Linked DNA regions of Anolis sagrei. The protein of the gene in region 2 binds, or shares a complex with, the protein of the main gene of each other region. Links are inferred from orthologs where the notes say so. Each region holds a gene or a part of one and is shown on either strand. Other genes may lie near its edges. The genes, in order: SNRNP40, PRPF6 and SART1.

What was found.
Region 1: PRPF6 (region 2) and SNRNP40 share a complex: the UniProt entries of both Homo sapiens proteins name them as parts of the U4/U6-U5 tri-snRNP complex. The link is inferred for Anolis sagrei from reciprocal best matches to the Homo sapiens genes PRPF6 and SNRNP40.
Region 3: PRPF6 (region 2) and SART1 share a complex: the UniProt entries of both Homo sapiens proteins name them as parts of the U4/U6-U5 tri-snRNP complex. The link is inferred for Anolis sagrei from reciprocal best matches to the Homo sapiens genes PRPF6 and SART1.

What each region holds. Positions count from the first base shown.
Region 1 is NC_090034.1:63,888,794-63,892,540, reverse strand, and holds the start of SNRNP40 (U5 small nuclear ribonucleoprotein 40 kDa protein), read right to left. Parts: upstream 2,200-3,747; 5' UTR 2,122-2,199; coding exon 1,993-2,121; intron 1-1,992. UniProt on the Homo sapiens protein: Required for pre-mRNA splicing as component of the activated spliceosome. Component of the U5 small nuclear ribonucleoprotein (snRNP) complex and the U4/U6-U5 tri-snRNP complex, building blocks of the spliceosome.
Region 2 is NC_090024.1:237,895,705-237,899,451, forward strand, and holds the start of PRPF6 (pre-mRNA-processing factor 6), read right to left. Parts: upstream 2,581-3,747; 5' UTR 2,565-2,580; coding exon 2,353-2,564; intron 1-2,352. UniProt on the Homo sapiens protein: Involved in pre-mRNA splicing as component of the U4/U6-U5 tri-snRNP complex, one of the building blocks of the spliceosome.
Region 3 is NC_090032.1:21,968,714-21,972,460, reverse strand, and holds the start of SART1 (U4/U6.U5 tri-snRNP-associated protein 1), read right to left. Parts: upstream 2,975-3,747; 5' UTR 2,921-2,974; coding exon 2,560-2,920; intron 1-2,559. UniProt on the Homo sapiens protein: Plays a role in mRNA splicing as a component of the U4/U6-U5 tri-snRNP, one of the building blocks of the spliceosome. May also bind to DNA.

The DNA.
Region 1 (3,747 bases), on a different chromosome or scaffold from region 2:
TTATAGGTCCCGTTGCCTTAATAAAGCTCAGAGCATTCTTGGGGATCCATCTTACCCAGCATATTATTCTACAGAATTATTACCATCTAGCAGACGGTACAGGGTGACAAAGACAAGTTCAAACAGACTGAGAGGTTTTATCCTATAGCTCTGGCTATGTTGAACCCCACAGCTTCGCATTGATATGGCATTGAGGGCTGCGCCATAGCTATTAGAATGTGGAGAGATGGGTGTTTTGTGTTGTGTGTCGGAGAAGACATTTAATTTCATTGTGCAGTAGTACAATAAATAATAATAATAATAATAATAATAATAATAATAAACTTTATTAATATAATATAATAAAACCTCGCCACCATCTCCCTGATGGGGACTCGGGACGGCTTACATGAGGCCAAGCCCAAACAACAAATTACAGCAAAATAAAACAAAAACAATAAACAACATCATAATTACATAAAACATATGAATGCATAACGATATAAAATTACAGTAAACACAATCACAGTGACAATGGGCAGGCTACATGTAATGATTAAAAGAAAAAGAAAAGAAAAACTAATTAAAAACTGATTAAAATAAAGCTATTCTATTCTATTTGATGTATTAGTGTATATACCCAGTGTTGCTCAAGCGTCATTGGGACCACTGTCTGTTTACTTTATCCCTTCTCTGGTTCTGAGAAGGCCTTTCTTACGTTGTGAATCCAGCAAAGACTGAGATCCTATGGCTGGGTAAACCAGGCAGTGGGGATATCCAGCTGCCTACCCTGGATGGCGAGGCGCTATGCCCATCATCATTGGTAAAGAGTCTGGGAGTCCTTTTGGACCCTCTGCTGACGATGGAGGCCCAGGTCTCAGCTGTTAGCAGAACTGCCTTTTTTCATCTGCGGCAGGCTAGACGGCTGGCCCCCTACCTGTCCAGGGGCAACCTAGCTACGGTGATCCAGGCCACGGTCATCTCAAGACTGGACTACTGTAATGCCCTCTACATTGGCCTTCCTCTGTCGGTGATCCGGAAGCTCAAGTTGGTACAAAATGCAGCTGCTCGGCTTCTTGCGGGAATTCCGATGAGATGTCACATAACCCCAATCTTACTGCAGCTGCATTGGTTACCCATTGAGCACCGGATCACTTTCAAAGTGATGGTACTCACCTTTAAGGCCTTGCATGGTCTGGGGCCGATGTACCTGAGGGACCGCCTCACCCCCTTCCAACCCCAGAGATCCCTCCGTTCTGAGGACCAAGATCTATTGGAAATTCCCAGTGTCAAGACCTTGCGTCTAACAGCAACCAGGCGCAGAGCCTTCACAGCAGTGGCACCATCACTCTGGAACACTCTGCCACCTGAAGTCCGTGCCTTGCGGGACTTCCCAGCTTTCCGCAGGGCATGTAAGACATACCTGTTTCGATAGGCTTTTAATGTTTGATATTGCTGTTTTTAATTTGTTTTAAATTGCTTTTAAATTGTGTTAGATTTTAGCCATTCTTGTAAGCCGCTCCGAGCCCCAGGGGAGTGGCGGCATATAAGTTTAAATAATAAATAAATAATCCGTCAATCCAAAAAAGAAAAGACTAAATCAGTAGAGTAAGGTTACCTCAATCATGTCATGCATAGACAGTCCAGTAGCTGGGAAAGAAATAAAAGTTAGAGCCATGGAGGCATTACTTTTTGACCCACCCGGGTATATGCCATCTATGGGCCAACATGGGCCTTCCCTCCAGGTGTTTTGGACTCCAACTCCCACCATTCCTAGCAGTTTCAGGTCCTTTCCTTTTCCCCCTCGGCCGCTTAAGCGGAAAAGGAAAGGGAAAAGGAAGGGGCCTACGGCTGTGAGGAACGGTGGGAGTTGCAGTCCAAAACACTGAATGGAGGCAGAGACGGCCCAAGTTGGCCCAGGCCTGGTAAAAGACACTGCCTGCCGACTTCCTCTGCCGTAGAGTCTAACCCGGGAGGCGAGGCCCGAGGCCTGCGGCCTGCCAGTGCACTCACCGCGGGCAGCAGGGCGCCCGGGGGCCCCGAAGGAGGGCCAGCCCCGGCGGCGTCTTGGCGGGGCTTCTTCGCCGCCGCCACCACCAAGGCCAAGTCCGTAGGCGCCTTCCGTTTCTGCGGGTCCAGCATAGCCGCGGAGAGACAGAACAGGCCTCACACCCTACCCGAAAGAGGACTGCGCTCCCTCCTTTCTCATTGGTCGCCTCATACCCAATCGGCAGCTTCTCGGAATATAGAGCACCCCGATTGGACGGGGCTGAGCCCACCCCTTATGTACGCCGTATGCCGATTGGTTGGGAGGAAGAAAGCGCCTCTGTTGGGGTTTCCGGAAAGGCGGACGTGCTGAGTGGCGGAGGACAGCGTCCACAGGCGTCAAACGGCTCTGAAGTAAGTAATCCCCTGGCAGGGAGGGGGCCTTCTCGTTGTTTTTGACTGTCGTCAAGTCATCTTTGCCTTACGAAGAAGTTGGGTTGGAAGAGAACCCATGGCGAATCCAGTCCAACCCCCTCATGCCTTCATGCAAGAAAATCACCACCAAAGCTCCCCCGACAGATGGCCACCCAGCCTCAGTATTAATTAATTAATCTATATAAATAAAAACCACTGGACGAATTGACACCAAATTTGGACACAAGACACCTAACAACCCAATGTATGTCCTTCACTCAAAAAAATTGATTTTGTCATTTGGGAGTTGTAGTTGCTGGGATTTATAGCTCACCTACAATCAAAGAGCATTGTGAACCCCACCAACGAGGGAATTGAACCAAACTTGGCACACAGTTCTCCCATGACCAACAGAAAATACTAGAAGAGTTTCGTGGGCAGTGTCCTTTGGTTTTGGAGTTGTAGTTCATCTACATCCAGAGATCACTGTGGACTCAAACAATGATGGGTCTGGACCAAACTCTACATGAATACTCAATATGCCCAAGTGTGAACACTGGTAGAGTTTGGGGAAAATAGAATCTTGACATTTGGGAGTTGTAGTTGCTGGGACTTATAGTTCACCTACAATCAATGGGCATTCTGAATCCCATTTTCTGTACCCCCCCCCCCAATCCCATTTCCCAAATTTTGGCAAACCTGATTTTAAAAAGCCCTTGACTGGGGAAATACAGGGAAACCTAAAACATAGTCCATTTGTGTTGTTGAAGGCTTTCGTGGCCTGAATCACTGGGTTGCTTGAGTTTTTAGGGCTGTATGGTCATGTTCCAGTAGCATTATTTCCTGACGTTTCACCTGCATCTGTAGACCTATGAAGACGCCAGCCACAGATGCAGGCGAAACGTCAGGAAGGAATGCAACTGGAACATCTACTTCATCACACTAGTGAATCCACTTTAAATCTGGTTTCTGCCTCCTGCAGAATTATGAGGCTTGTAATTTAGTGAAGCTGTTCAAGGCTCTTCTTTAAGCTACAAACCCCAGAATTCTTCAAGAGGTAGCAACCAGATTTAAAGTGGATTCATTCTCTAGTGTGATGAGCTCGATGGTCATATAGCCCAAAAAACTCATAGGAACCAAGTCAATTTGCCCCCTTGATCTCTAGGGCAGTGTTTATCAAACTGTGCTCCTCCAGGTGTTTCAGACTCCCAGAAATTGCAGCCAGCTGTTATAAATTGTGGGAGCTGAAGTCCAAAACATCTGGAGGAGCAGTTTGAGAAACTCTGCTCTAGGGAACATAGCAAGGCCTATTTAACTTTTTAAATACCCAGATTTGGGACACATGCTGGGAAAATGCAATCCTTGGAA
Region 2 (3,747 bases):
ATTAACACACAACAGAAAAACTCAAGTCCAAAACACCTAGAATGATAGAATCATAGAGTTGCACAAGATCACATGGGGCATAAAGTCCAACTTCCTGCCATGCAGGAAAAGCACAAAGTACCCCTTAACAGATGACTATCCAGCCTCTGGGTTAAGGTTTTGCCATTAAAGAATTGTTACATTCCTTCTACAATATCTGTGTTCTGTTCTGCGTTGCGCAAACAGCACTCCTGAAGGAGCGAAGTGGAAAGAGCGTAAAGCTCGATCGTCCAGAGAGGCTCTTCTCTCGCTCCCGCCTGCATCGCAAGTGCGACTTGTGGAGACGAGAGAAAGGGCCTTCTCTGTGATAGCCCCCCGGCTCTGGAATTCACTCCCCAGAGACATTCGGCAAGCCCCCACACTGGCAATCTTCAGGAGGAATCTGAAAACCTGGTTATTCCAACGTGCCTTCAATGATTGAATGTAAGATACTCCCTGACCAAATTTCGTACAAATGACTTCAGAAGGACTTTATGGTTCGTGCAATTAATTCCTTCCTCAATCTGGATCTCCCTCCCCAACAATTTCCATTGCCCAATCTCCCAGTGTTTTAAAATTTAAAATTTTTATCCTTCTCGCAGTCCAAGGCACTCTCAGCACTTTCCTCCAACACCACAGCTCAAAAGCATCTCTCTTCCTTCACTCAGCCTTCCCTAAGGTCCAGCTCTCACATTCATAGGTGACTACAGGGAATACCATGGCTTTGACTAGGCGGATCTTTATTGCCAGTGTGATGTCTCTACTCTTTACTATTTTATCGAGATTGGACATTGCTCTCCTCCCAAGAAGGAAGCGTCTTCTGATTTCCTGGCCACAGTCTGCATCTGCAGTCATCTTTGCACCTAGAAATACAAAGTCTGTCACGGCCTCCACATTTTCTCCCTCTATTTTCCAGTTGTCAATCATTCTTGTTGCCATGATCTTGGTTTTTTTGACGTTTAGCTGCAACCCAGCTTTTGCGCTTTCTTCTTTCACCTTGATTAGAAGGCTCCTCAGCTCCTCCTCGCTTTCGGCCATCAGAGTGGTGTCATCTGCATATCTGAGGTTGTTAATGTTTCTTCCAGCAATTTTCACCCCAGCCTTGCATTCATCAAGCCCTGCACATCCTCACATGATGTGTTCTGCATACAAGTTAAAAGGTTGGGTGAGAGTATGCAGCCTTGCCGTACGCCTTTCCCAATCTTGAACCAGTCTGTTGTTCCGTGGTCAGTTCTGACTGTTGCTACTTGGTCCTTGTACAAATTCCTCAGGAGAGAGACAAGGTGGCTTGGTATGCCCATCCCACTAATAACAATAAACATTATTTATACCCTTTCCTATTTATTAATTTACTGTATTTTTACATTATTTTAAGTAGGGGGCTGTTTTGATATTTTTAGGGAGGAAGTTCCAGAGGCGGGAGGCAACCACAGAGAAGGCGGTAATAGTATGAAAGCTGGGTCCGGAATAATAATAATAATAATAATAATATACCCTGCTCCATCTCCCCCAGGGGGACTCGGGGCAGCTTACATGAGGCCACACCCATCAATACAGTAAACACAATATTACACAAAAGCATAACCCAATATAACACAAGGCATAACAGAACTAAAAAAAACATAAAATGCAAAACCTAAATAATAAACGAGACAGCAGTATAAAATCGGACAGTAAACACAGAAATTGCACAGGGCAAGGCCAAAATAAAGCCCGACTGCTCACTGGAGGGAAGGATACTAGAGACAAAGCTGAAGTACTTTGGCCACATCATGAGGAGACAGCAAAGCCTGGAGAAGGGAATGATGCTGGGGAAAGTGGAAGGAAAAAGGAAGAGGGGCCGACCAAGGGCAAGATGGATGGATGGCATCCTTGAAGTGACTGGACTGACTTTGAAGGAGCTGGGGGTGGTGACGGCCGACAGGGAGCTCTGGCGTGGGCTGGTCCATGAGGTCACGAAGAGTCGGAGACGACTGAACGAATGAACAACAACAATAAATAAAGTTTATTAGTATTAGTATTTTAGGAAGAAGGAAAGAAAAGCGCAATTTTCTACTGAAGCAGGAATTGCTTGGGTTGCAACTACACTGTAGAATTAATGCAGTTCGACACCACGTTAACTGCTATAGAATCCTGGGAGTTGTAGTTCGGTACTTTTTGGCAGAGAAGGCTAAAGGCCTTGTGAAACAACATGAGTCCTAGCAATCAAGTCAAAGTAGTGTCAAAAGTGCATTCATTCCACAGTGTAGATACAAGTCCAAAGAGAGAGACAGAATGGAAGGGAAACCGAGGCCTCGCTGGCCGCCCAACTCCCAACTCGAGCCCCCGGCTCACCCGCGGCCTAGGCCCGGCACGTAGCCCAGCGGCGCAGGCATGCCCAGGAAAGGCTTCTTCTTCCTGTTCATGGTCCCTGTCAGCGAGGCCGTGAGGCCTGAGGATGCAGACCCTCCGCTTCCCCCGGGCCCGGATGAGCTCGAGCCTCCCGGGCCGGAGGAGGAGGAGGAAGAGGCGCCAGAGGCCGACGAAGAAGCAGCCGCGGTGGCCATCTTGGCGACGACTGAGGAGGAAGGCGGCACGCATGCGCAGTAAGGACGGAAACCGACTACGCATGCGCGTCTGGAGGAGACAGAGGCCCGTCTTGACTCTATTCCATTATGGACTTCACTTCCCAGAAGCCTCAGCTGCGTTGATCAACGGCCAGGAATTCTGGGATATGAAGTCCAAAAATAGGAAAACACTTGGAGATCCAGAGTTTGGGAGTTTCTCAATTTGGGACCAGGGTTTTTCCCCAATTCTACTTTTTCTCTCCTTTTTGGCATGCATTTAGACCAGGCATGGACCAACTTGGGCCCTTCAGGTGTTTTGGACTCCAACTCCCACAATTCTATTAGGAATGGTAGGAGTTGGAGTCCAAAACACCTGAAGGGTCCAAGTTGGCCCATACCTAAGTATAGAGGCCTAATAATGGCCTAGTCCTTTGGTTTCCTAATTCTGTTATTGTTGCCCACCTCAATCCATTGGAAAAGGCAAGTAAGAAATGATGGTGATGACGATACCATTGAACATCCCATGTCCAGAAATCATAGAATCAAAGAGTTGGAAGAGACCTCATGGGCCATCCAGTCCAACCCCCTGCCAAGAAGCAGGAATATTGCATTCAAATCACCCCTGACAGATGGCCATCCACCCTCTGTTTAAAAGCTTCCAAAGAAGGAGCCTCCACCACACTCCAGGGCAGAGAGTTCCACTTCTGAACAGCTCTCAGGAAGTTCTTCCTCATGTTCAGATGGAATGTGCCATATTTGGAGTTTTGTTCCGATTTTGGAATCCTTGCATACACATAACAAAATATCATGGGAATGGAATCCGAGTCTAAACATGGAATTCATTTATGTTTATACATTTAAAAATGCCTTTTGCACCAGCTCAGCTTTGAAGAATAGAAATAAATGAAGAATATCTTCAACCCTACATACAGAGGAATCTTTAGCAAAAGATCTGGGATTTCTAGGAGTCTCTGCTCTGGTTTCCACCAGATTGAGTACTGGTATACGCACAGAATATCCACATGGTTTAAATGAACCAAATCTGTACAGTTGTTTTATATATAATTCTGAAGTTTTATCCAAATTGGTAGTGTTACAATATGTCTCTCTGTTTGAGCATATTGTGAGCATTCACAGCGCCATCTGGTGCCTACATTTTACATTTTTGATTCCAACAGTCCCT
Region 3 (3,747 bases), on a different chromosome or scaffold from region 2:
TACCACTCCCAAATGTCAAAAGTCTATTTCCCCCAAACTCCATCTGTGTTCATATTTGGGTGTATTGAGTGCTTGTGCCAAGTTTGGTCCAGATCCATCATTGTTTGAGTCCACAGTGCTCTCTAGATGTAGGTGAACTACAATTCCCAAACTCAAGGTCAATTCCAACCAAACCCTTCCAGTATTTTCTGTTTGTCATGGAAGTCCTGTGTGCCAAGTTTGGCTCAATTCCATCGTCTGTGGGGTTCAGAATGCTCTTTGATTGTAGGTGAACTATAAATCTCAGCAACTACAACTCCCAAATGAAAGTTTCAAAAAAAATTGTGTGAAGGACATACATTGGGTTGTTAGGTGTCTTGTGTCCAAATTTGGTGTCAATTTGTCCAGTGGTTTTTGAGTTACGTTAATGCCACAAATAAATATGACATTTTTATTTATATAGATAGATTTTCCAGATCACCAGACTGGGCCACAGCAACGCCCTGGCAGGGGATAGCTAGTAAATACATAAATAAATAAATTGAGAAGGAGGAGAAGGACAAAAGAAGAATGGGGAGAAAGAAGGAAGGGCAGAAGAAGGAAAAAAAAGAGCAGGGAGGAGGAAAGAAGGAGGCAAGAAGGGAGACGCCTGGAGCTTCCCCTGCTCTCTCACCGGCTCCCTGGGCGGCCTGCTCATGGGCCTTCCCGCGCTTCTCCCGCTTGGGCCTCCTGCGGAGAAGGAAGGAGGGAAGGAGAGAAAGAAGGAAAGAAAGAAGGGTAGAGAAGGAAGGAAAAAAGGAGAGGAGGGAAAGGAGGAGGGGTGGAGATAAAGAAGGAAAGAAAGAAGGGTACAGAAGGAAGGAAGGAGAGAAAGAAGGGTAGAGAAGGAAGGAAGGAAAGAAGGATAGAAAGAGAGGGAAGGAGGGAGAGAAGAAGGGAAAGGAGGGAAGGAGAAAAGGAAGGAAAGAAAGAAGGGTAGAGAAGGAAGGAAAAAAGGAGAGGAGGAGGGAAAGAAGGAAGGAAAAAGAAGGAAGGAGGGAGAGAAGAAGGGAAAGAAGAAGGGAAGGAGAGAATGAAGGAAAGAAAGAGAATGAAGGAAGGAGGTAGAGAAGAACGGAAAGGAGGGAAGGAGATAAAGAAGGAAAGAAAGACGTGTAGAGAAGGAAGGAAGGAGAGAAGAAGGGAAAGAAAGAGGGAAAGGAGGAGGGAAGGAGAGAATTAAGGAAAGAAAGAAGGGTAGAGAAGGAAGGAAGGAGAGAAGGAGGGAGAGAAAGAGGGAAGGAGTGAAAGAAGGAAAGAAAGAGAAGAAAGGAGGGAGAGAAGAAGGGAAGGAGAGAAAGAAGGAAAGAAAGAGAAGAAAGGAGGGAGAGAAGAAGGGAAGGAGAGAAAGAAGGAAAGAAAGAAGGGTAGAGAAGGAAGGAAGGAGAGAAAGAGGGAAAGGAGGAGGGAAGGAGAGAAGGAAGGAAAGAAGGGTAGGGAAGGAAGGAGAGACAGAAAGAGGGAAAGAAAGAGGGAAGGAGGGAAGGAAGGAAAGAAAGAGAAGGAAGGAGGGAAGGAGAGAAAGAAGGAAAGAAAGAAGGGTAGAGAAGGAAGGAATGAGAGAATAAACTAAGTGAAAGAGGGAAGGAAGGAGAGAAGGAATGAAAGAAAGAGGGAAGGAAGGAAGGAAAGAGACAAGGAGGGATGGAACCAAAGAGCAAAGGAAGCGAGAAAAGAAACAGGTAGAGAAGGAAGAAAGAAGAAGGGAAAGAAAAAGAGGGAGGGAAGGAAGGAGAGAAAGAAAGAAGGAGAGAAAGGCAAAGAAGGAAGAAAGTATTTAAAAAAGTGAAAGAAGGAAAGGGGGGGAAGGAAGGAGAGAAAGAGGGAGGGAAGGAAGGAAAGAGACAAGGAAGGATGGAACCAAAGAGCAAAGGAAGTGAGAAGGAGAGAAGGAGAAAATGAAGGAAAGAAAGAAGTGTAGAAAAGGAAGAAAGAAGAAGGGAAAGAAAAAGAGGGAGGGAAGGAGAGAAGGAACAAAGAGAAAAAGAGGGGGGAAGGAAAGAAAAGTAGAGAAGGAAGGAGAGAAGGAATTAAAAAAGTGAAAGAAGGAAAGAGAGAGGGAAGGAAGGAAGGAGAGAAGGAATGAAAGAGAGAAAGAGGGAGGGAAGGAAGGAAAGAGACAAGGAAGGATGGAACCAAAGAGCAAAGGAAGTGAGAAGGAGAGAAGGAGAAAATGAAGGAAAGAAAGAAGTGTAGAAAAGGAAGAAAGAAGAAGGGAAAGAAAAAGAGGGGGGAAGGAAAGAAAAGTAGAGAAGGAAGGAAGGAGAGAAGGAATTAAAAAGTGAAAGAAGGAAAGAGAGAGGGAAGGAAGGAGAGAAGGAATGAAAGAGAGAAAGAGGGAGGGAAGGAAGGAAAGAGACAAGGAAGGATGGAACCAAAGAGCAAAGGAAGTGAGGAAAGAAACAGGTAGGGAAGGAAGAAAGAAGAAGGGAAAGAAAAAGAGGGAGGGAAGGAAGGAAAGAGGGAAGGAAGGTTGACCATAACAATGCGTGGCGGGGACAGCTAGTTATTATTGTTATGATGATGATGATGATTCCTCACTTGCTCCCTGTGGGGCCTGCTCGTGGGCCTCTCCGCGCTTCTCCCTCTTGGGCCTCCGCTCGCCCTCCTGCCTCCGCTGCGAGGACGACGAGGACGGGCCTTCTTCTCCTCCTCCTCCGCCTCCTCCCCGCTGTCGGCTCCGCTCGGCCCGGCTCCCGCTGCGCTTGCTCCCGGCGCCGCTGCTCCCTCCTCCTCCTCCGCTTCCGCCTCCCCCTCCGCTGCGGTGCTTGTGCTTCTTGTGCTCCCGGTGGTGCCGGGACGACGACGAGGAGGAAGACGAGGCCGGCGGAGCCCCGGAGGAAGGAGGCGGATTCTCCTCAGGGGCCTCGCCCCGCTCCCGGTGCCGCTTCGAGGAGCCCATCGCGGCGGACAATGGCCGCGCTTCCGCTCCACAGAGACGCTTCCTTGACTCTGCACTGAGGGGAGGCTCACACTTCCGGCCAGGCACCAAAATAATCCCGATAAGACTCACTTCCGGGTGAAAAAAAGGTTCTGCTCTGTTGCGAAAATCCCCGGATAGGCTCACACTTCCGGTCCGTCGCCAAAATAATCCCGATGAGACCCACTTCCGGGGGAAAGAAAGGTTCCGGTCTGTTGCGAAAGTCCCCTGATAGGCTCTCACTTCTGGTCCGTCACCGAAATAATCCCGATGAGACCCACTTCCGGGGGAAAGAAAGGTTCCGGTATGTTGCGAAAATCCCCGGATAGGCTCTCACTTCTGGTCCGTCACCGAAATAATCCCGATGAGACCCACTTCCGGGGGAAAGAAAGGTTCCGGTATGTTGCGAAAATCCCCGGATAGGCTCACACTTCTGGTCCGTCACCGAAATAATCCCGATGAGACCCACTTCCGGGGGAAAGAAAGGTTCCGGTATGTTGCGAAAATCCCCGGATAGGCTCTCACTTCTGGTCCGTCACCGAAATAATCCCGATGAGACCCACTTCCGGGGGAAAGAAAGGTTCCGGTATGTTGCGAAAATCCCCGGATAGGCTCTCACTTCTGGTCCGTCACCGAAATAATCCCGATGAGACCCACTTCCGGGGAAAGAAAGGTTCCGGTCTGTTGCGAAAGTCCCCTGATAGGCTCACACTTCCGGTCCGTCACCAAAATAATCCTGATGAGACTCACTTCCGGGGAAAAGAAAGGTTCCGGCCTGTTGCGAAAATCCCTAGAAAGGTCTCCCTGCA